Oryctolagus cuniculus: one gene and its partners. The protein of the gene in region 3 interacts with the protein of the main gene of each other region in a biochemical or structural test. Links are inferred from orthologs where the notes say so. Each region holds a gene or a part of one and is shown on either strand. Other genes may lie near its edges. The genes, in order: ADRB2, guanine nucleotide-binding protein G(q) subunit alpha and GRK2.

Region 1 (7,784 bases), on a different chromosome or scaffold from region 3:
GGCTCCGTGGACACTGGGATCACATTGATGTGTGTGCTAGACCTGACTCTGCAACGAGCCGAGTTGAGTCGTGTGGCTTCGGCGAGTTATTTAATCTTTCGGAATCTCGGTTCCGTCATTTGTTAGATGAGGACAATTATGCTGCCTACATCATAACCTTGTGAAGATGACATAATGCCTAACAGGTGCCTAGCGCAGTCCTTACCATTTCATAAGATTCCATAAAAGGCGTCTGTTTAGTGTTATTAAGGTTATATTCCATATAAACAACTTGTTCATGCTGCATGCAGCAAATACTTAATAAATCTGAAGGTACTTTAAACAGTGCATGGAAAATGGAATTGAAAGATAAGTTTATATGAGTGCCAAAAAAATTGAAACTCATGCACAGTCATACCCCGAATTGATTCTGGCTTAGGCTGTGTTTGGTGGTGGGTTCAGAATCGGAAAACTTTTAAGCACCTTGGAAGAGCAGTCCCTGCTCCCAAACTCTCTATCCCCCAGATTCCTTCCTCTAGTAATTATCTCAGCGGGAGGCCCACGCTGTCCTTCCATGGTTCACACCTGTCAGCTTGCATCTCAGGATAAAGTTCTCATTTGACAGACTCTGAGAACTTGCTGTCCAGGCAAAGAAAACTCTGGTGATGAATCCAACACAAACCTTATGTAACCAGCACGTCGGCAAACAGAGGGACAGAGAGACGCAGGGAAACAAAGCCACACAAAAGGAGAGGAAAGCCAGGGATTGAGATATGCCCAGAACGCCAAGGTCCCTGAAGTTCATCAAAGTTCTTGTATTTATCGTGCGCCTAACGGACTAAAAGAACGCTGTACTTTTAAATCAAATGATGTTGATGCTCCTTTATCCAAAGAACAGACGTATTATTGACACAGTTTACTGGTAATACTTATGAATACTTTATACTTATATATAGTGACATAGGACTTACACATGATGTCAGACTGGTTTGCAACTCTGTGTTTGAAATAAGACCTGGGAAACTTCTACCTGGGATAAAGTCTGGAATTCCTGACAGATCACAAAGAGTTAAGGAATCTCCTGGCTTCCTTGAATGCGGAGAATGTCCTAGTGGATTCTTGGAGTGAAATGAACAGTTCTTTCCCTCGTCCCTCTTGCAGATTACTTATTTATTCCCCGAATTTTGTGTTAACGACTCAAAGGAAATAAAAACATCTGCTGAAATGAAGTTGTTATATTACAGCCCAGGACAAGCTTCCGCAGCTGAGGGTAAGGACAGAACCCAGTGACAGTGCGGCTGCCAGGGGACCACAGCTCGTGGCAGGGCAGTCTGGCTAGCTGCTCTGCCATCCTGGCTGCTTACCTTGGGCAGGTCATTCCCTGGCTTGTGGTCTTTTCAGGTCTCTTTTCTATTGCCCCTGTGAGGTTACAGAAGCATGCAGATAGCAGGAGAAGCCCAGGGCAGGACAGCATGAGAACAGGTATGAGAACGCTAGGAGAAAGTAAAAATGCTAAAGGCACATGCTCTCCGATTCCAGAGACACTCCTGGCACTCTCCCGGGAGCTCAGTGCTTGCCCAGATACCCCCTCAGCGAGCTGACAGGAAGCAGTGAAGGCCAGTGCTTTTCTGGTTGGGGACCTTGGCTGGGACAGAAGGGAAGAGAGAAGTTGAGTCAGCCACATGAGCCAGTGAAATGGCAATGACCCCTGTATGCAGATCCTCCACAGCCTGGCGTTGCCAAGGAGGGCGATCCACTCCATCAAACCTGGGCCAAGCTCTGGCTCAGAACACACAGGCAAAAATAGAAAGGGGCTGCGAGAAGAAATGTGTTTACTTTTGTGATTCCACCCCCTGCACCTCTTAACAGTAGTATAATCTCTCTAGAAACAGAAAGTAACGGCCCACAGGCCTCGCCTCCATTGATAAACCCTCCCAAACAACCCATATACAGACTGAAAGCCTTCTTCAAGTCTCCTGGTCACTTTCTGGGCAGCTGGAGAGCAGGTTCACAGGGATAGCAGCACACAGGGAGAGTGTACTGGCCTGGGGTCTGTCTCTAAAAGGCCCCTCTCTGTGGCTCTGCAAGATAAAGCGTTTGCACAAAGCGGAATCCAAATACGCATTTAGATTTTAAAGTTTGCCTCCACGGCTCTCTCCCAGGTCTGATATTGTCCTTCAACAGGTATTCGAAAGTGCTGGAGATTTTTTTTTTTTTTTTGTCATGACTCGGAGGTGCTATTGGCATCGCATGGGCAGAAGCTAGGGATATTGCTCCACATTCAGTGATGCATGGCATAATCCCACAACGGGCACTCTCAAGGCTGATAATGCTGAGGGTGCCGAGGAGAGCCAGTGGGAGAGGGAAGAAGAGGCAAAAGTAAAGAAGAAGGGTTAAAACCCTGTTTCTAGGCCGTTAAGTAGTCATCAGTCACGTGCTTTCCAGCTTCTCTCCCTAGGACCAGTGTCATTTTATTTTCCCTTGGAATCACGTTTGGGTTGCTTTCTCGCAAGAACATCTTCCTTATCCTTAAAATGCAAAGCCCTGATGCAATACAAAGAGCTCTACTAGAAGATACAGCTGAGATATTAAAAAAAAGAGTTCTTAAATGAGTAGAACTGGGAGGTGGGGGCGGGGGGGGGGCGGTGAGGTGGCAGGTAAAGGGACAAACTGTATGCCCAGAGCTCTGTTTCTGTGAGTCAGTGTTTCTGAGGTCACAGAACAGAATAACACCCGAGGGCAGACTGAGCTATGCTGAGAACAGGCAGAACCGATGTGGGTCACAAGGGTTAGGAGAGATACAGGTTTGCCACAGCAGAGTCAGAGGCGAACGAAAGGGTTAAGCAATCAGTGCGTGTCATTCTTGTATCATTCCACATTAAGCCGCCAGGCAGTTATGACAAATAGTTACCTGCGGTTTCCAGTGGGAGAGGCAAGGACACTCCAGTCAAGGGGCTTTGGAGAAACAGGTGCAATGAAGTCATGGTCAAACAATTTATTTACTGTAAACTTTAGACTTTGCTCAGGAAAACAAGTGAAGCTGCCCCCTCGAATCCCTGCCTACAACACCCGGTCCGAGCAAACAGGAGGAGCTGGGAAGAGTCCACGTTCACAGCTGAGAGGTCCGGGATACTCAAGATCCTCAAGTCCAAGGGTGCAGGAAGGAAAAATCTCCTTCAGGTACAAATTACCAGCAGCAATATATTACCCCTAATACTTGACCACTGAGGTAGATACACGGAGAAGTCATCAAAACGTAGCAGACCCAGGTCCTCTAGGACTCAAGCCCTTCGGACATAAACTTAGGTGTTCCATGCAAAAGAGGAACTGAACTGTACAAGAAACAAATAATCACTCAAATACATCTTCTCTCTTTTTTTTTTTTTTACAGGTTAAAAAAGATTAAAAAAAAAGGCAGAAGGCTGCCTTCCTTCTGCGTCTCTCTATACAGTTTTATTCTAAATGTGTTACACTCAAGTTAAATAGTCTGTTTAGTGTTCTGTTGGGGGAGGGGTCCTTAAAAAGTAGAAAAACTGCATTACAGCAGTGAGTCATTTGTCCTACAGTTCCTGCCGGGGGGATCAATGCTATCGTTAGGCACGGTACCTTGACAGTTCACAAAGTCTTCCATGCCCGGGGGGTCCTCACACAGCAGCTCGCTTTCTTTCTCTTGCTCCAGGTGATAGCTACTCTGCTCCCCTGTGTACTCAGTTTTGCCAGTGCTGTTGCTGGAGTAGCCATTCCCGTAGGCCTTCAAAGAAGACCTGCGCAAGCACAGAAGCTCCTGGAAGGCAATCCTGAAGTCTGGGCTCCGGCAGTAGATGAGCGGGTTGAAAGCAGAGTTGACATAGCCCACCCAGTTGAGGAGGATGTAAACTTCCTTCGGGATGAGGTTGTCCTGGATCACGTGCACGATGTTGACGATGAAGAAGGGCAGCCAGCAGAGGGTGAATGTGCCCATGATGATGCCTAACGTCTTGAGGGCTTTGTGTTCCTTCAAGCAGAACTTGGAGGACCTGCGAAGTCCATGTCCATGCCCGCTTCGCCCATCCTGCTCCACCTGGCTGAGGTTTTGGGCATGGAACCGGCCCTCTGATTTGTCAATCTTCTGGAGCTGCTTTTTGGCCACCTGGAAGACCCTGGAGTAGACGAAGACCATGACCACCAGGGGCAAGTAGAACGACACGATGGAGGAGGCAATGGCATAGGCTTGGTTCGTGAAGAAGTCACAGCAGGTCTCCTTGGCGTAGCAGTTGATGGCTTCCTGATGGGTGGCCCTGTACCAGTGCATCTGGATGGGCAGAAAGGAGGTAAGGCCCGACACGATCCACACCATCAGAATGACCACGCGCGCCTTATTCTTGGTCAGCAGGCTTTGGTACTTGAAGGGTGAGGTGATGGCGAAATAGCGATCCACTGCGATCACGCACAGGGTCTCAATGCTGGCAGTGACGCACAGCACATCAATGGAAGTCCAAAACTCGCACCAGAAGTTACCAAAAGTCCACATTTTCATGAGAATGTGGCTCGCCCCAAAGGGTACCACCGCTAAACCCATAACCAGGTCAGCACACGCCAGTGAGGTGATGAAGTAATTTGTGACCGTCTGTAGACGTTCAAACTTGGCAATGGCTGTGATAACCAGAACGTTGCCAAACACGATGGCCAGAACAATCAGAGACATGACGATGGCCAGACCCACCACCCACGCCTCGTCTGTTTCCTGCGAGATGTCGTGGTCCGGCGCGTGACTTCCATTGGGCGCTAGCAAGAAATCGCTGCCGTTCCCGGGTTGCCCCATGGCTCGCAGGCGGGCAGGTGAGCGCCCGGGGGCGGCTGGCGGCACAGTGGCCCCGCCTCAGCGTGCGCACCTCCGGAGGGGCGCTGCGGACCGCGAGCGGACTCCTGGAAGCTTCATTCAGCGGCCGTAGTTGGATGCGGAGGGTCGCGTGGGTCACGTCCGGCGCACTCGGCTTGTGGGTTGCTCTGAGCCCTCCGTGCCCGCCAGCTCCAGCCTGCACTTCAGAGAAGCCGCCTCAGAGTGCGTTCTGCCCGTTATGTGCTCAGGACTTCGGGGCCACTGCCTCCCAGTGACGTGAGGCAACTTTCGGCCAATGGCGTGCCCGCAGCCCCGAAGGGGCGAGGCACCTCTCCCCTTCGCTTCCCTCCCCTTGCCCGCCCTCTCCTGGGGCTGGCCCGGGTGGCAGGCGGGCCACCACTCCCGGGCTGGCTCCTGAGTGCTAAAGCGGGGGCTGCGGGCTCAGCAGCGAACCAGCGAACTGAGCTCCTCTCCCTCCGGCTGCTACCTGTCTGCCCTGGGCGCTTGTGCGCATAATGGCGCTCGCGACATTTGGAAACAGGGACCAGAGTGCCATCAGAACTTGTACATACAAGCACGATGCACCCCTACGGACATGCTCAGACTTATCTGGAACTCAGGGAGACACGACACACCCACCCAGCGCACCAACATGCCTCTCGCGCGCGCTCACACACCCACCCAGCGCACCAACAAGCCTCGCGCGCGCTCACACGCAACCCACAAGCACTGTTGCCGGCAGTCACGGCTCACACGCGGTCAGAGTCAGACATAGAAGCAGCCAAGGGCACAAAGGCACGGACAGGCACACGGAAAGAAGTAAACACACTCTACGCACATAGAGGTGCGTGCGCGCTGGGACTTGGGAGCGCACAGAGCCACAGAGGCACGCGACCCTGTGCGGGTACCCACAGCTCTTCTGGCTCAAGCCCTCAATTGCCACACACCCCCGTGCTCCACCTCTCCCCACCCCGTCACCCTTTCAAACATTTGGCAAGATCACAGGAGATGACTTAAACAGCTGCCGATTCCCTCAGCACGGTCCCTGTCAGTTACTTTGAATGCTCTCCTCGGGAAGGCGGAGAGTTGGGAAGGTTTTACTCTGCGTTTCACTGCAGCTTGGCTGTGTATGGACCTAGCTTGTGATGGCGAAGAAAGTTGCGTGGTTTTGTTGCTGATTGTTGAGAGTGTAGCAGCCCCCCTTCTGTCATCTGTTGGAATGGAGATGCACTGAAAATGAAACAGATTTCCTTTCAAACGTAATGTCTTTGATAACCCCATGGCAACTGCAGAAAAAGCAATCTTTTCAGAGGCTAGATAATTTGTATCTGTTGGATTGAACCATATGAAGTTGCCTTGGTTGGTTGCCTCTGATTTACAAGAATGGACATTTCATACAGTTTGTAACATTATGACTGTACTAACTTTAAGAATGTTTTGAAACTGTGGAAAGATGATTTTTCCAAAAAAAAAGTCAAACCAAGCCTTGAAACTAAATGTCTTTGTTCATGAAATATTACCCTTTGCATCTGGCATATGACTTTAATGTTAAAAAGAAATTTGATTTTCAGGGTTTGGTTTCATATGTACCAGTGAGGTCTTTGAACAACTGAAAGTGCTTTGTGCAGCCTAACCAAACATATTTTGTAGGTTACATAATACTGTAACAATGGCCAACATTTATAGGACGTTCTGCTATGTGCTTTTCATGCATTATTCCATGTAATCCTTCCACAGTCCCATGGGACAGGGTGTGTGGTGTGTGTGTGTGTGTGTGTGTGTGTGACTATTTTTAGCTTAATTCACAAATGGGGCTCTAAGAGGAAAATAGGTTGCCTGGGGGCTATGATGAAGCAGTGCCAGAAGTTGGATTTGAACCCAAGTCTACCGGACTTTAAGGCCTTTCTTTTAATCTTGTCAATGTGCCCTCGTATTACAGTCAGAGCAGAGTGGAGGCGACGGAAGAGGCACCATAACTGGAGCCGAGCACCCAGGCTCCACAGTCATCTAATGTGGAACTTTCTAGTGTACTTTCCTTAGGCAAATCATAAAGAAGAAACCTGATTTCTTCCATCTTTAAGGGAGGAATATAGTCACTTCCCCTGGAATGAGAATTAGTGATCCAATATATTGCACATATAAATGTCATACTCATATGGGCAGTCAGCAAAGTTTATACAAATTACTTAGTCATTTAGAATGTGTTGCTAGTATCGTCTGCCAGAACAAGACACTGCTTTAGGACAAAACCAAGTTTTGTCTTTACTCCAGAAGAAAAACTCTGCAACAAAATATAACCCACGTGTCCTTTTAACCTCCTTCAGCAGGAGAAATTGTCTTTTTGCAAGACAGATGCCTTTAAGAGCAAATATTTCCCTTATAATCCACGAATATTAATTAAGGTTCCATTATGTTCACCTGGTTTGCAAAGTATAGACGCCCTATGTTTGTATTTTCCAAAATCGGCTCTGGTGTGATGCATTTTAGGAAGAGGCAGTGTCTGTTATGCAACAGTGCTTCTTTAAATACATGGCCACCATGAATGGTCCTTCCTGTTTGTGAAGTTATGGAATAAGTAAGCAAATTGTTTAAGCTTCCCATGGCCAATAGAGAACAAAGAAAACCTCTTTAGGATAAACATTAATTGATCCTTTGTTTACATAAGTTCAAGTCACCTACAAATTCGAATATTTTGGGAAACATCTTTATAAAAGCACGCGCGAAAATTCTGGACTTAAGCCTACCAACCTTGACCAACAGGAAATCAATCTCTCTCCCTCTCGCTCATTCCCCATCTCTTCTCTGTTTCATCATCAAGCAGGTAGGAACTTCAGGATGTTGTTTTCTTTCCAAGAGACTTGTGTCCTGATCTTGTTTTAGAATTTCAGAATTAGGCCGGCACCACGGCTCACTAGGCTAATCCTCCACCTTGTGGCGACGGCGCACCGGGTTCTAGTCCCGGTCGGGGCGCCGGATTCTGTCCCGG
Region 2 (7,494 bases), about 150 Mb from region 3:
TGACTTCTATCACAACTTTAATACAACCTGACTTCACTTTGTGTTTCATTTTGGCTGTTCAGAGGCTCATTATTCCTTTAGACTATTAAGCCTACTGAGGGTAAAGACCATATCTTATCTTAGTAGGCGTGTCTTCTTGGACCTTCACCACTAGTTACTGATACAGGGTAGGTAATGAGTAAATGCTTGTTGATTAAAAACCTGGAATTTTGTAATAGGATCCATGTTTAGTTCCCTAACGCTTCTAGGACAGAGTCAACATCAGTAATTTCTGCATGGATTGTTTGATTTTGGTTGTAGGAATATTTGCTAGGCACATGCTTTCCAGATAATATCAAAGAATTTTTGGATTCATCTGCATTCAGATTAGGACTTTCTTTTCCTGCTTCCTTCTTGACACCTAGACATTGTTTTATCACTAGAGTTTTGGTTTTCCTCACTTCTTGATTTGTTCCTAATACTTGTCATGACAATTCATATATCTAGTAACAGCCAGCCAGGGTATGTCTCTGATGCTGAGAATAGGGGATGACAAAAGTTTATATCTGAGATCTGTTGAAGCAGTTTAATTTCTTTCATCAAGCAATAGGTCAAATGTACTGATAGTCTTCTGATAGTTTTCTGGCACACTTTGAAAGACATTTTCAAGTCTCAGAGGACACTAGGCTAGGAAACCCAATTTGAAGCTCAAGAGAGCTATTTGGTTTCCAGTGTTTTGTATTTCTCCTACTCACATATATCCATGTATTACAGGATACAACCATATCAGGTTTTCCCGTGAAGCCATTTTACATCACTGCATATTGAATGCCATTCTTTTCATTTCTTTTGTCACTGATATTTAAATTTTCATTCCATAGCAAGTGTAGTGGTTCTTTGTAGTCATTCGTATAAATTTGCTCATTCTACTCTCCTGGCCAAGGTGAAACTCAATCATTTTCCTTGGCCAAAAATCCTTTTAAAAAATATAGATTTTATGTTTTGATGGCTTGCTTAATCTAAGTGCTGGCTTGGAGTGTGTGTGAAGGGCTGGAGGAAATGATAAATGAAGGAAGGAAGTCGCACACCTGGTGTCCATGAACCCAGGGTGCATTCCTGGCCTGCAGCAGTAGCACAGCCGTGGCACCAGGAGCATCTCCCAGCAAACGTGGAACAGCGATTCTCTTCAGAAAACACCATTTACCCTGAAGACCTCGGTTTCCATCAAGGCTGGAGGCGGAAGAGCTTGGCTTTTTGCAGCTTTCAGGCCAAATCAAGCCTGAAGGAGCAAACTTCTTGTTGTTACTTATCGGGAAGATCACCACGAAACACATACGCAACACTTTTACATAAACTTAACCGGAAGTGGAAAAGGAAAAATAAGAAAAAAAAAAACCTAGAAACAAATCTTGATTTTCCCATTTAAAATTTTTTATTCTTTTCTTTCATCCCGCACGGATTTACATGCTCCCAGAAGCCACCCATAAGTTCCATCTCGGTGGAGCAGGGTACATTCGGTGACTTGGCTGTGAAAACATCGCGTGCCTTTTCAAAAACGAGGAGCATCTGTAAAACGGAAACAAGAACAACAGAAAACCAAAACCAAAATCACCTCAACAGCATGAAAAGTTGGAGCCTGCCAGGAAGCTCCCGGCAACTTGGGCAGCTTCATTTTTCTGCTCAGATTTCTATCTCAAGTGAATTGCAGGGTCCTCGCCCCCTACCCCTCGGGGAGGCAGTGACCACTCCTCTCCGGCCACAGCCCACCCGGAGAGAATCGTATTTTCTAAGATTCAACTGGGGTCAGTAGTGACGAGAGGCAGCTTCTAACCGAATGGCGTTTGAGGAATAACCTCGGGAAAAGACAGAGGCCACCGCACAGCGGCCTCGCGGAGCCGGGCAGGGGGTCTCCGGCGCTGCCAGCGGGGAGCCGGGCAGGGGGTCTCCGGCGCCAGCCGGTGCATGGGCTCGGGGCCGACTCCCGCGGCTTCCAGGCGGGGCCGAGGCGGCGCTCCGGGGCTGGTGGGCTGAGAGGCAGGCGGAGGCCGCCATATTCCCGCTCCACCACGCCCGGGCGGCCGCAGGTTGCCGGGGTTCCGGCCCGCGGTCGCAGCCGCCCGCTCAACCCGAGCGGCTGTCAGCGGGCCCTGCCCCTAGCCGAGGGCGGCTGCGTCCGCCGGAGCCCGCCGGCCTCCACGGAGGGCGCGGGAGAGGGCGGCGCCCGCGGAGCCTGAGGGGGCCGGCCCAGTCAGGGAGCTGCGCGAGCGAGGCGAGAGCCGCACTGGGCGGCGCGGCGCGCGGCTGCGAGCCCAGGGAGAGCCTTCCAAGAGGGGCCGGGCGGCTCCGCCTCCCGCGCCCGTCCCTCCGCCTCCGCCTCCTGCCCCTCCTCCTCCTCCGCCTCCTCCCGCCGCCGCCGCTGCCGCCGCCGCCGCCGCCTCCCTCCCGGATCTGTGCTCCAGTTCAGAGAAAGAAGAAAATGTGTGTGTGTGGCGAGGGGGAGGGCGATCACTGAGCAGCCGCTCCGCGCCTGGCAATCGGGGCCGGGGGTGGGCGTTTGGCGGAGGCGGAGGCGGAGGCGGAGGCGGAGGAGCGCGCGGCGGGCCGGGCCGGCGAGCGGGGTTTGCGCGCTTAGCCGGGCGGTGGGCGCGGGCAGGGCCGCGGGCGCCCGGGAGCCGTGTCAGGCGGCGGCGAGGAGCGGGCGCGCCGGGTGCGGGGAGCGGTCGGCGGCCGCTCGCTAGGGGGGCGCCCCGGTGGATGTGCTCTCGCCGCCGGGCGCAAACCGTAGGGGAGCCTCGGCGGCGGCGCGGGGGGCGAGGCGGGCTGCCCGTTCCCGGGGAAGGAGGCGCGGGCGTCTGAGCGAGGCCGGGCGCGGCGGCCTTCCCTTGCGCGCCCCCCGAGCCAGCGCCCGCGGCCGCCTCCCGCGCCCGCCTCGCTCCGCCGGGCGGCGAAGGCCTCCTGCGCCCGCCTAGACCCCGGCCCACCTGGTGGCCCCGGCCCTGGCCGTCGCCCCCGCGGCGGTTCCGCGATCTCATCCCGGACGCGCGCCCAGGCGGCGGGGGCTCAGCGGCCACCGCTGCCTCGGGGGAGCGAGGGCGGGAGGGTGTGTGTGTGCGCGCGTGTGAGCAGGGGGTGCCGGCGGGGCTGCAGCGGAGGCACTTTGGAAGAATGACTCTGGAGTCCATCATGGCGTGCTGCCTGAGCGAGGAGGCCAAGGAAGCCCGGCGGATCAACGACGAGATCGAGCGGCAGCTCCGCAGGGACAAGCGGGACGCCCGCCGGGAGCTCAAACTGCTGCTACTGGGTGAGTACGGCCCGGGCCGGCCGTGCGGGCCCTCCCCCGGGCCTCTGCGCGCCCCCAGCCCCCGCCTCCGGCCCCTCCGGGCAGCCGCCCCCAGCCCCCGGGCTCGCCCCTACCCTCCCCGGGCGCGCCCCCGGCCTCCACCCGCACCCGCGCGGGTACGCGCGCGCGCGCACACACACGCCCGTGCGCGCGGAGGGTTCGGGGCTGCCTTGTTGGGTGCCTCGGCGCGTGCTGTCTTGTGTGTCCCTTGTTGTGGGGGGGGCTTGCGTTCTCTGCGGTGTCTCTGCTCAATGGCAGATCAGATCTGGCTAGGGGCGCGGGGCTGGGAAGGTGGGCTGAGGGCTTGAACTTGCAGCGCCGGGGCCGCCGCGCCCCCAGGGGTGGTGGAGCTGTGTGTGTGTGTGTGTGTGTGTGTGTGTATGTCGCCCGGAGGGTGGCGAGCCGAGCCGGGGCACAGGGCGCGGGCGGGCGGGGGGGAGATGGCGCGCCGTGAGGTGGCCGTTGTGCATCCATTATCGGTGCGTTCTGGGGTCCAGGAGAAGTGGGGGAGCCACCGGTGGGCAGACTGGCGAGTGGGATCCCCAGGGGTGAAAACTAGAAGCCCAGCAGGGGTCGACCCTCCCCAGCCAGGGGTTCGTGGGGTGGGGGCGGGGAGGGCGGGCAAGCCCCCGTGTGTCACCCGAGTGTTCTTCTGCAGCCACCAGGCCACCCACAGGAGGGGCCCAGCAGAGTTTCTTGGCCAGTGGATGGTGGCAGGCGTGCTTCTCGGCTGCACCATTCCTTCCGGATTAGGACCGGGGCGAGGGGAGCGTGGCTGGCGTGGTTGTTGACAGCGACGGGTATCTTTTGTCTAATGAGGCATCCCAGATCTAGGCCTGAATTCACAACAGTACCGCAGCCTTTCCGTCCCTCTCCGGGGGAAAGAGAGAAACCTTTTGTTTGAAACGGACAGCATTGTAGTGTCTTGGGCATCAGGGCTGCAAAGGAAAATTTCCCTCTGGTCTCTGAATCAACAGCCCCGCGTTCTGCTTTCACGCGAAGTTAGCAAGAGAATGCCGTCTCTCGAATAGGCGTCTATGGATGATTACCTCCGAGAGAATGCTCGGAATCAGGCCACCAGGGTTCACAGACAAGCCAGCGTGAGGGCACCCGGAGCTATTGTGGTCGGCAGAGGCCTGGAGGACGTCTGCACTTGTGTTCTGCGTGTTTGTGTGTGCATAATAAATGCGCGTCTCCGACAGGAGAGAGTGTGGTCTGGGCAGTTCGGGTGGCAGAAGCCTGTATTCCCTCTCTTATCTTGAGCATTCCATCTGCTGGAGAACCAACTGTCTTTGGGGACTCAACTGCTCGTGCACTGGATCCTTTGCAAACAGGAACAAAATAACAGGGCCACCCGTACTTACGAATGGCTACTCTGCTCGCCGGGCTGTGTGTCTTCCTTCTGAAGCCCTGTTAGACAAATGTACACAGGTTCATAAAGGAACAGAAGGCAGCGGGCTGGGGGGAAGAGGTGGGCTTGAGGCCGTGAAGCCGGGGGAGGGAAACACTGCGCTTGGAAAGTGAGGTTCTTTAAAAAAATATATTTTTTTTAAATTTTATTCTCATTTTGGAGGTTGAACATTTTCTGAATTCTCGGGATTGAGAAGAAAGTGGAGAGAACAAGGGAAGGTGTTTAAATACAGAATTCAGGGGAGAAAACATGTGGTGAAGAGAGACTTGTTTGAAGAGCTGGGTTTTCTTTTCCTTTTGCCCTGTTTACTGCCTTTATTTGTTTCTGTTTAGCTGTGAACAGGGCGTCTAAGGTCTCTGCAGTCAGCTCTGTTGGCCTGAACTATGACAGCTCTGGGTTTCCCAGCAGCTGTGCCTTAGCACAGGGGCTTTGTCAGAGGGCCTGGGTTTGAATGCCCAAGAGGGAAGAACACTTCCATAGAGGCTTAATTACATGCCCTGTGCTGTGCTTTTATGGAATGAACCGGGAGATCATTTTCTGAGGAAAGAAAAATGTAAGGTACAGTTTCACAGCTTACGTGGTGGTGGTGTGGAGACTTCGCTCTTATTAGACATTTCAGTAGGGTTTCATATGGCCCACCTCATCCCCATACTATGGCCCATTAGAAGTGGTAGAAAAATAGGATATTAATTGAGCATCTACATTCATGAGTGCCATTTGAAAATGCATCTCTCTGACAGAAGCTTGATCCTCACACATCGTTAGGAATTCCTACTTCATGTTCTAGGCGTGTGGCTTTTGTGACTTAACCAGTGCAGTGCCCACACTACTCACGTGGTAAAGATAGGTGCTGAATGTAGATGTGTGCCTGTGTGTGAATGGTGGGTGAGTCCAGGAGGGAGCCGAGGGCTGAGCTGAGCAGGGAAGGGTAACGGGGCGGCTTCCGGCAGAGGGATTTCTGCTGTGCTGCTCTGATGAGTACCCTGAATTTTCCCGATCCTTCCTTCATTTACACAGAGCCTACCCCGAGGGAGGGGGTTACAGAATGTGTTCTCTCAGAGTGTCTAAAGATCTGGTATTTTAAACTACCTACTTAAATGGAGGAATCAACCTTATAGTAAATGAAATGCAAGATAAAATTATTTTCAAAGTAAATTTTAATTTAAGACATGGCAGCATTTAAAGGAATTGTGTGGTAGGGATAAATGTGTGTACCCTTGCATTTGTTCACACAACTATTTAATATATATTAATAATATGGAGGAATTAGAGAAGGAAAGTAGTGTTTGGCTGACGACACAGAAGTGTGGCAGTAGAATTTGTGCTGTTTTGATTCATATCCAGCCATTATGGTAATGTCTTCCAAATTTATTCTGCAGTACTTGCATATTTTAATTTTTAATCTTTTTAAAAATGAACCCTGAAATCTACCACCTTAAGAATATCTTCTTAATTTCTGAGTTCATATTTTCTTAAAATTATTCTCTTAATTTATTTACTTTAGTGATTGTTTTCTTTGACACCTAAGGAAACTTTGTATTCTACATAGACATACAAAAGCATGCTCTGTTTTAACTTTACTGCTGTTTTTATGTATTTTCTAGGTGAAAAGTACATTATATTTGCTTTGATTAATATTCATGAATTCACTAAATATTTCTTTCAGTAGTACATGGGCCACACCATTTAATATTAATTTGTCTTCAGGTCTGTAAAACAAGTTGTCCCAAATGCTTGCCTTGGGTTATAGATGTTCATTGTGAAATTGTTTTCAATTCCTAGAAGATACACTTTTTCCCCTCTTAACCTGCTCTTATTTTATGCATGTTTGACATCTTTTCTGTTTAGATCATAATCATCAAATAGGAAGATTTTGCGAATTTGGGAGGGAGAGGGAGGGAGAGGTAGAGAAGAGAGAGCAGGAAGGGGAGGCAGAGAAGGAAGTGAGAGAAGGAAGGCAAAGTTTAGGTCAATGTTAAATGAATGCGGTCTTGGTTTTCTGAACTGAATTACATGCATGGCTGTAGATTTTATTCCTATTCTGCACTGCAAGATTGTAGGCATGGAGATTGTGTCTATTTGGTTCACTATTAAATCTCAGCTTGTTGTACATGTTCTAACTCATAGAATGCCCTCAGAAAGTATTTGCTGAATGAAAGATTTTATTTGTGACCCTCCTGCTAGAAGTTGGGATCTGATAATAATGAATAAATTATAAGAGCCAGAGGGATAGGTAATGTTTTTATCTACAGCACATAAAATCATGATCTTTTGAAAATTGTATGTGGCTGTTGGAGCCAGTTGGTTACAAATGCATCACATAGTTGATCCTGTATATTACAGTTCTGTGCTGGGTACACTGCGAATGGAACAGTCTTGCCCAAAGTGAAAATTTAAAGGAAAAAAACCTGTTGTCATCTTGATTACCTTTTTATCATGTAGTGGGTGGTTTAACCCTGTTGTCTTTTTGCCAGACATTTTTCTCTATGATGCACTTAGCAGAGTGAATTTTTAATATTCTGTTGAGAACAGATGATGACCAAACAGATTTTTGTGATTTACTTAACAATGTTACATGAGGAAAACCACAATGGGTAAATACAGAATTCTAGGGATTGCAGATGGAACATTTTTTGATACAAGGGGCATACATCTTGTACTGAACGCTGAACAGTTGGAGAGCAAGAAGAGACTCGGAAGCCTGGGAATGTTCTGGCCAATTTAGACTATATGGAGGGTTCATTCATGCACACCTTTGGATCAA
Region 3 (7,524 bases):
GACGGCGTGCGCCTGGTCTTGTCCAGGGCTCTGCTCACACTTGCCGTGTCCTTAGGGGCTGGGGCTGCCGGGGACGGACGGGGCCTGTGGCCAGGCAGCCTCCGGGTGAGCCAGGCCCGGGGCTGCGGGTGGTGCAGAGTGGCTGGGGCTCCTTTCGTGCCAGCGTCACCCTCCCCGGGGCCCCGTGGGGACAGCCCAGCACCTGCCCTGGCAGAGTAGGGAGGGCACCTTGGCACAGACGTGCTCGGTGTCGGGAAGGCCTGCCCAGCCCCGGCAGAAACTGCTTGGCCCCGTCCCCGCCCCCTCGGCTGGGTCTGCCTGGCGCGGGGGGAGCCACTTCCTCTCTCCCTGCACAGCGAGCAGCGGAGGGGTGAGGAGACAGGGCAGCGGGCAGGGAGGGCAGAGGGCTGAGGGGCCCTCAGTCCCCCAGGCTGCTCCCAGGCAGCCTGCGCACGCCTGCCCCGCGTGGTGTGGAAGCCAAGGCCAGCGGGCTCCAGGCCTGGCAGCGAGCAGGGCCTGTGGCTGCCGCCCAGGTGCTCCCCTGGGCCATTTCCAGGAAACCTGGCACCGAGGTGGCAGCTGGAGGAGGAAGTCCCCTGGGGCATCTTATTAATATTTTTCAATGACTCCCTGGGGCTGCCCGTGTCCTCAGAGTGCGAGGCTGGGGCCACGGACCAACCGGGGCAGAGCGAGGCGGCCACACGGTGCACAGGAGGGGACGCTACGTTGTCACGTATCACGGCTCCTTCGCGGATGTGACGCGAGCCCCAGCCCCTGCAGCTGACGGAACACACGGCCATCCCGCGGGCACATGCCGAGGACAAACTTCCGGAACTCCCTGCCCTGCCCTGCGCGGGGGTGGGGGACCCCGGCCCCAAGCCCAGGCCGGCTCCCCGAGTGGGCGCAGTGCACCCTGGCGCAGGCGAGGCTGCTGTGGCTACAGGAGAAAGCCGCACGCAAACGCCTCCTGTTTCGAACATGATCGAAACAGCGGCGCACATGGACCTGCCGGGGACCCGTCTGGGGCTGCCGGGGCGTCAGGGCAGGTGTGGCGGAGGGGGCTGCCCGCTCTGCCTGCTCCCCGAAGGCTGTCACGTGCCTGTTCGCCGCGAGGCAGCCGCCCCTGAGCGCCCAGCCCCTCCGCACGGCAGACCTGGGCGCAGGAGGCGACGCGGGCCGAGGCGCGTGCCTGCACCTGACGTCACTGGGAATTTACTACGACTGCATTAATAGGACACATCACTCCCGCCGACAGTGCACGCATTCCAGCCGGCAAGGCTCCCTTCCAACGGCAACTACGGGCGCCCCCTGCTCTGCAGAGAACAGAGGTGGGGGGCTCCGAAGGCCCAGAGGGGGTGCCTGCTGGAAAGATGATCTTGTTGGGGGGGGAGGCTGCGGCTGTCGCAGTGGAAAGTTCTGGGTGAGAGAGGACGCCTTGCCCGCCGCCTTCCCCCACAGACCGAGGCAGGAAGTTCTGGCTGCAAAGAGTTAACAGGAACGAAGCGGCAGCGGAGGAAGAGCTGGGTCTGGGGAGACCGAGCCACCGACCGGGAAGCCAGAAGGGGCAGGAAGGAGGCACCGCGGTGGGGGAGGGACCAGCGCGGCTGCGAGAGGCACCCAGCTCCGCCGGGAGGCCAGGCAGCGCGCCCCGGCCGGCCGGGAGCCTGGAGATTAACTGCACAAGGCCTCAGTGGGCACATTAGCAAACGACCGTAATTACACCTCTGCCGCCTGCCGCTGCCGGGAAAGGCGGCAGCTCTGAAGGGGCGAGACCCGGCCCCCAGACCCACGAGCTGAGAGGTCGCCAGACACCGAGCTGCCCCCTCGAGTTACTGAGAGGGAAACCGAGGCAGCCACGGCTGGGCCAGGACTGCCGGCTTCCCGCGAGGAAGAGGCCGGGAAACGGGTCTACTTCCTGGGATTCTACAGGTGACAGAAGGGGTGGCCCGTGCCAAGTCAGCACGGCACAGTGCCCAGGTGCCACCGGCCCCCGGCCCAGCTCCCGGCCAAGCCACAACCCAGCACCTGCCGCGAAGAGGCTACCAGGATGGCGCACCCCGGGGTGGGGACAGCTCCCGGACCGCGGCCTTGTGGAAGCGGGAAAGATGGAGCCCCAGTGGGGACTGGGCCTGCCTGTTACTCCCCAGCCCCTTCCGCACTGGGCAGGGCGGCAAGCAGAGGCGCCCAGGATGGGGTGGCCGGGCAGAGGCCCAGTTCTGGTCCCAGCTCTCCCCGGCGACCCAGACAAGGCCCCTCCCTCTCTGGGCCTCAGTGGCTTCAGGTGTTCAATGGGGAGCCTCCCGCCCACGGGCCGAGCAAAGCATCAGATGGACAGGCCGCACTTTGGAAGTGGGTGGCGCTGGGCAAACACGGGACACAGTCCCTGTCGTGGCCCAGGGCCGGAGCCCGGACCCCAGGCCGGCTGTGCCCGGGGCAGGCGGGGTGCTCTCCACCCTCCTGTCCAGCGGAAACCCGTGCACAGCCTGCCCCGTGCCCCCCCCAGGACGGGAGGCCACGCCGCAGTCCTCAGGCTCCTTGAGCCGCTCAGCCCTTCGCCGACGTGCCGGGTCAGCGTTCGGACCGAGACCAGCGCCAGCCGCAGGCGTCCGGGAGCACCCAGCACCTGCAGTGTCGGCTCCAGGCGGGCCCCCGCAGGAGCGGTGCATGCTGGGGAGATTAGCCAAATGCAGAACCTTCCAGAAAAGGCCCTGGTGCTCACGTCATGCCTGCAGGTGGGCCTCGAGGCCACAGCCCCCAAGGAGAGCTACCTGGGGCCACCGCGGAGGGCGACCCGTCTCCTCCCCGGGGGCTTTGTCATGTCTGTCCCTGTCGCTGCTCCCTGGTCAGCCCCGGCCGACGACGGTTGGTCTGGTTCCTGTTTTGAGAAATCTGATTGCAAATGTCTTAGGCGGCGCGGGGGAGGGAGGGTGCTAACGGCCTTTTTAAAACCAAGACCAATTTTCCTCTCCCAGGCCTGCTGTGCAGTCAATCTGAAACCCACGGAGCAGGGTGCGAGGAGGGGTGGCCGGCCAACACCGCAGGGCACCCCGGGCAGCTGGGGCTCGGCTGCCACACCTGCGCCCCGTGCCAGGGACCGCGGCCACGGCGCAGCCGCGACACTCGCTTTGCACCTTCCACATTTCACAAAGCCAGAAACGGGAAGGGACTTGCCCAGTGTCACATGACAAGGCCTTGTCCCCAGCCGCCGGGCACACAGGAGTCGTCGCCGGGATGGGGACCCTGGTGGCTGTACTGAACGCCGGCCCCCAGGTCCCAGCTCGGGCCAGCGCAGGGGGCAAAATGCAGAGAGAGCAGCCGGAATCCCTGGGCTGCTGGCCGGGTGCCACCCTGGGTGACCTGGGTGACACGGGGCGGGCCACCCACTCACGGGGCTCCGGCTTCTCCACCTGTTCCACCGGGCCTGGGCGGCTCGCTCGGTGGGAAAACACTGCCAGCCCTAAAGCGCTGGACGAGCCCCGGCCACCATTCCCACCCTGGGCACTTCTCCATCCACATCCTGGCCCTTTAAACTCTGCCACCAGGGGCAATGACATCACGGAGAGGTGGCAGCCGTGGTCCAGCTGCTGCAGGTGTGCTGGGCTGTCCCTGGGTCATCAGCACCCCCAGGGTCCCCAGGCAGGGCCCCCACAGGAGACACGCCGCGGGGGTCGGGGCACACACGTCGCCCCCACCCGAGAGCAGCCTGGGGGTGGGGGCGGTCGCTGCACGCGCCACGCCCGGCCGCCCCAGGACAGCGAGCCCACCCACCGGAGCGCGGGGCGAGAGCCCCAAGACCGCACGACCCCGGAACCTCGCACGGCGGGGGAGCGGGCTGGCAGTGCCGGAATCCCGAGGGGGCGCTGGGGGCAGGGGCGGCCGAGGAAGAGGAGGATGGCGCTGGGGGTGGGAGTCCCGGAGTGGGGCGCTCCGGCGCGCGGGGCGGGGGGCGCCGGGGTCACGCGGGCCGGCGCCCGGGCAGCGGGCCGCGCGGCCGCCTCACCTGGGCTCGGGCAGCAGGATCTTCTTGCTGGCGCGCGCCGCCGGCGTGGCCTTGCTCTTCTCCATGGCCATCAGGTAGCTCACGTCGGCCAGCACCGCCTCCAGGTCCGCCATCTTGGCGGCGGCGGCGCTGCCTCCTCCCGCCGCCGCCGCTCGCTCGGCTCGGCCCGGCCCGGCCGCGGCTCGCTCGGCCTCGGGCGCCGCCGCCGCCGCCGCCGCCGCCCGCCCGGCCCCGCTGGGCGCCCGCGGCTCCGCTGGCCGCGCTCACAGGCGGCGCCGCCCCATGGCCCCGGCTCGCGCTGCGCTCCCGCCGGGACTGCAGTCGGGGCGCCGCCGCCGCCGCCGCCGCCCGCGCCCCGGAGCCGCCGCCGCCGCCGCCTCCGGCCCCGCCTGCCGCGCACAGCGCCAGCGAGCCCGCGAGGGGCCGAGCCGGGCGGCCGGCGGCGCCCCCTGCAGGCCGCGCGGGCCACCCCGCGCCCACGCCCCGGCCGGACGTCGGCCGTGCGTCCCGGACCCTGGGCCTGGGCCGGCAGCCTCCAGTCGCGGCCCGGGATCCCACCCTCCAGAACCAGAGCTCGGCCGAGACCCCGGGCCAGGGCCGGGACTCCGCCCGAGACCCCCGAGCCGACTTCAGAACGGGATCCCAGACCCTGCTGTAACCCGGCACCTGATTCCAAAAAGGACCCCAGACTCGGCCACAGCCCTGGGGCCCCAAGCGCTGGCCCCAGGTGCCCAGCAGGACTCCCTAAGGAGGTTTGAGATCTTGGCCTTGGGACCTCCCCGGTTAGCAGCTCCAGGCCTGGACTTGGACCCGGGTTGGACTCAGAGCCCAGTCGGTCATCGAGCCACCAGGAAGGTGACCTCTGCCGTCACACCCCAGGCTCCTCCAGCACCCACCCCTGCCCCAGGGGCCGCTTTGGGATGATTGCACAACACGGGGCCAACTCTCCCATCCTGGGGGGGGTGGGGGCACAGGGTCTCAGTGTGCCTGGCAGCCCCCACAACTGGGAGCCACCCACAACGGGAAAGCCAGCGTCTCAAGGCACAGCCCCAGGCCTGACAGATCCCCTCTCTGGAGCCCCCGCCCCGGTTCCCACCCCAGCAGAGGGCACACTCAGCCCAGGTCCTCATGCCGGGTCCTGAACCAGAACCAGGAGCCCTCCGCGAAGCAGGGCCCCCACGCACTTCGGGGCCACCTTCCCGGGTCAGCACAAACGGCGAGGCCCCTGCTCCGCGGGGACTCTGCCGCCCACCCAGATACCCGTCAGACCCTCCGGTTTCTTTTCCTTGATCCCTCCCTCTCCCCTCCCCTAACCTCTCCTCACACCCTCCTGTCTGGCCCCCCCGAGAACCTTCTGGAACCTGTCCATTTCTCAGGATCTGCTGGGCCCACTCAGGACTGGGCCGCCTCTGCCCAAAGCACCACAGGACCAGACGCCCTGACCTGCAAGGGGGGTCCCTGCCCCTCTCAGCTTGTTCAGCCCCCACCCTCGGTGTCGGGTGTCCCCCACCCCCCACCCATCCCTTCTCACCCCCCGCGCCCCTGCTCAGCCTTGAGCCTGGAACCCTCTGGGTGCCTTCCTCCCTCACCAACTCCTGCTTGCCCTCTAATGCCACTTCCTCCAGGCAGCCTTCCTGGACTCCTGACCCCGGCTATGTCCATCTCTTCCTCTACACCGCCCACCCAGGAGAGCCTATTCCCTTGGTCGGGAAGCATCGTCTTGTTATGTTTTTATTTATGTATTTGAAAGGCAGAGCTACAGAGGGAGATGGAGAGACAGAGAATCTCCCTCTGCTGGTTCAATTCCCCAGATGGCCACAATAATGGAGGCTGGGCCAAGCGCAAACCAGGAGTCTGGAACTCGATTAGGGTCCCCCACGTGGGTGCAGGGGCCCAGGCACTTGGTCCATCTTCCGCTGCTTTCTCAGGTGCACTAGCAGGGAGCCGGATCGGAAGTGGAGCAGCCAGGACTCAAACGGGCGCCCCGCTAAGGGACGCTGGTGTTGCAAGCAGTGGCTTAACCGCTGTGCCAGCGCCAGCCCCGCGCCACACTTCTCAGGGTCCAGTGAGGCTTTCGGACCCATCGGTGTCCTGGAAATGCAGAGGCGTGGGGGGGACACCCACTGTCTCCCACGGTCACCAAGGCTCCTGGCTCAGCTCTTGCCACAGTGCCCACCAGGGGACCTGACGCAGAGGGCGTCCGTCGACAAGTGCCGGGAGACTGTATGAATGGGAGACTGAGCGGCCGGGCTCTCGCGGCGCATGGCATCTGGGGCCTCTGCCCACCGCCCTGCCCGCCTCTTCGCACTGAGTGCAGCCACAGGCTGGCCTGGATTTATCTGGGACAGCCTCTGCTTAAAAAATCCTGCCTGACGAACACGTCAGTCCAGGATCTGCATGTGGGTTCTGGAACACCCGCCGTCCTGCCCCCACCCATCTGCAGCCCCCGGCCAGGTCTGGAGCTGGGGTCCCTCCAGGGGCCTTCTCTCCAGGACACCCCTCCTTGGTTCCTGGGATCCGAGAAGGTGGTTTCTGGAAGCCCCAGGCTGTTGATGGAGGCCCTGGCTGGGGGGCTGGGGGGGGGGGCAGGAGGGCTGGTTTTGGGGACGGTGCTGCCCTCTGGTGGCCGTGGGAAGGCTGATTAAAAACGTGACCTTTTCGGGCCAGCTTCCCTCAGCAAACCTGTCTGGTGCCCAGATCCGCCGGGCTACAGCCAGGATGCCGGGAGCGCCCAGGGGAGGGGAACGCGTCCCGCCCAGCTGGCAGGCCCACACTGCTCCTTGGCATGTGTGCCGGTGACTAATGAGTGTTGCAAACTCCAGTGCGTCCCACACGGAGCTCCTGCTCCCACCAGCCAGCCCCGGGCCGAGCCGCTTCCCTCCAAGCTCGCCCTGACAGTCGCCCCAGGAGTCCTCCTGGGCCCCTCGCCCCCCACCTCCGCGCGTGCGCACACACACCTGCTGTCCGTGGTCTGGCGGCACCTGGTGAGTCTACCCTGAGTCCTCCCATTAAGCCCTGGCCTCCCGCCTGGGGGCCGGCACCAGCCCCTCCCAGAGCTTCCACAAGCCCAGCGGAAAGCCCCCTGCACTTAGGACAAAGCCCACCGCCTGCCTGTGGCCCTGAGTCTCCAGCCCCTCTGGTGTTCACTAGAACAAGGCAAGTCCATTCCTCCCTCTGGGTCACGTGCTTGCCCTCCCTTGGGCTGCAAGGGCTCAGCTTGCATGGTCACCGCTGCATCCCTCACCCCCCAGCAGGAGGCCTGGCCCAACGTCAGGGCTGCAAAGGCAGAGGGGGCAGCTCGCAGGGGCAGGTGCGCCTGAATGTGAGTGTGTGTGCCTGGGCGGGCGAGTGCTGCCCTCGCCTCTCCATCTCGGCCCTGGACTTTGGAGGCGCGGGAGGCGGGGCTTCGGGGCTCCCCTGGTTTCAGCAGGTGCCTGGCGGATAGGGGCGGAGGAGTTCCTGCCTAGGGCGGGGACCAACACCCCTGTCTCTGCTGCCGGGTGCCCAGGCAGTGCCAGGCTCCA

What was found.
Region 1: the proteins of GRK2 (region 3) and ADRB2 form a complex in vitro, tested with the Homo sapiens proteins (2 studies listed by BioGRID, with this or other methods). The link is inferred for Oryctolagus cuniculus from reciprocal best matches to the Homo sapiens genes GRK2 and ADRB2.
Region 2: the proteins of GRK2 (region 3) and guanine nucleotide-binding protein G(q) subunit alpha form a complex in vitro, tested with the Homo sapiens proteins (3 studies listed by BioGRID). The link is inferred for Oryctolagus cuniculus from reciprocal best matches to the Homo sapiens genes GRK2 and GNAQ.

The regions. Positions count from the first base shown.
Region 1 is NC_091437.1:36,222,513-36,230,296, reverse strand, and holds the start of ADRB2 (beta-2 adrenergic receptor), read right to left. Parts: upstream 5,019-7,784; 5' UTR 4,781-5,018; coding exon 3,586-4,780; intron 2,935-3,585; coding exon 2,927-2,934; 3' UTR 2,891-2,926; exon of another isoform or gene 1-2,890. UniProt on the Homo sapiens protein: Beta-adrenergic receptors mediate the catecholamine-induced activation of adenylate cyclase through the action of G proteins. The beta-2-adrenergic receptor binds epinephrine with an approximately 30-fold greater affinity than it does norepinephrine.
Region 2 is NC_091432.1:152,215,285-152,222,778, forward strand, and holds the start of guanine nucleotide-binding protein G(q) subunit alpha, read left to right. Parts: upstream 1-2,953; 5' UTR 2,954-3,144; coding exon 3,145-3,280; intron 3,281-7,494. Other genes in the region: uncharacterized protein, read right to left, coding at 1,440-1,545, 1,811-2,031.
Region 3 is NC_091432.1:4,747,360-4,754,883, forward strand, and holds the start of GRK2 (beta-adrenergic receptor kinase 1), read right to left. Parts: upstream 4,353-7,524; 5' UTR 4,114-4,352; coding exon 4,001-4,113; intron 1-4,000. UniProt on the Homo sapiens protein: Specifically phosphorylates the agonist-occupied form of the beta-adrenergic and closely related receptors, probably inducing a desensitization of them. Key regulator of LPAR1 signaling.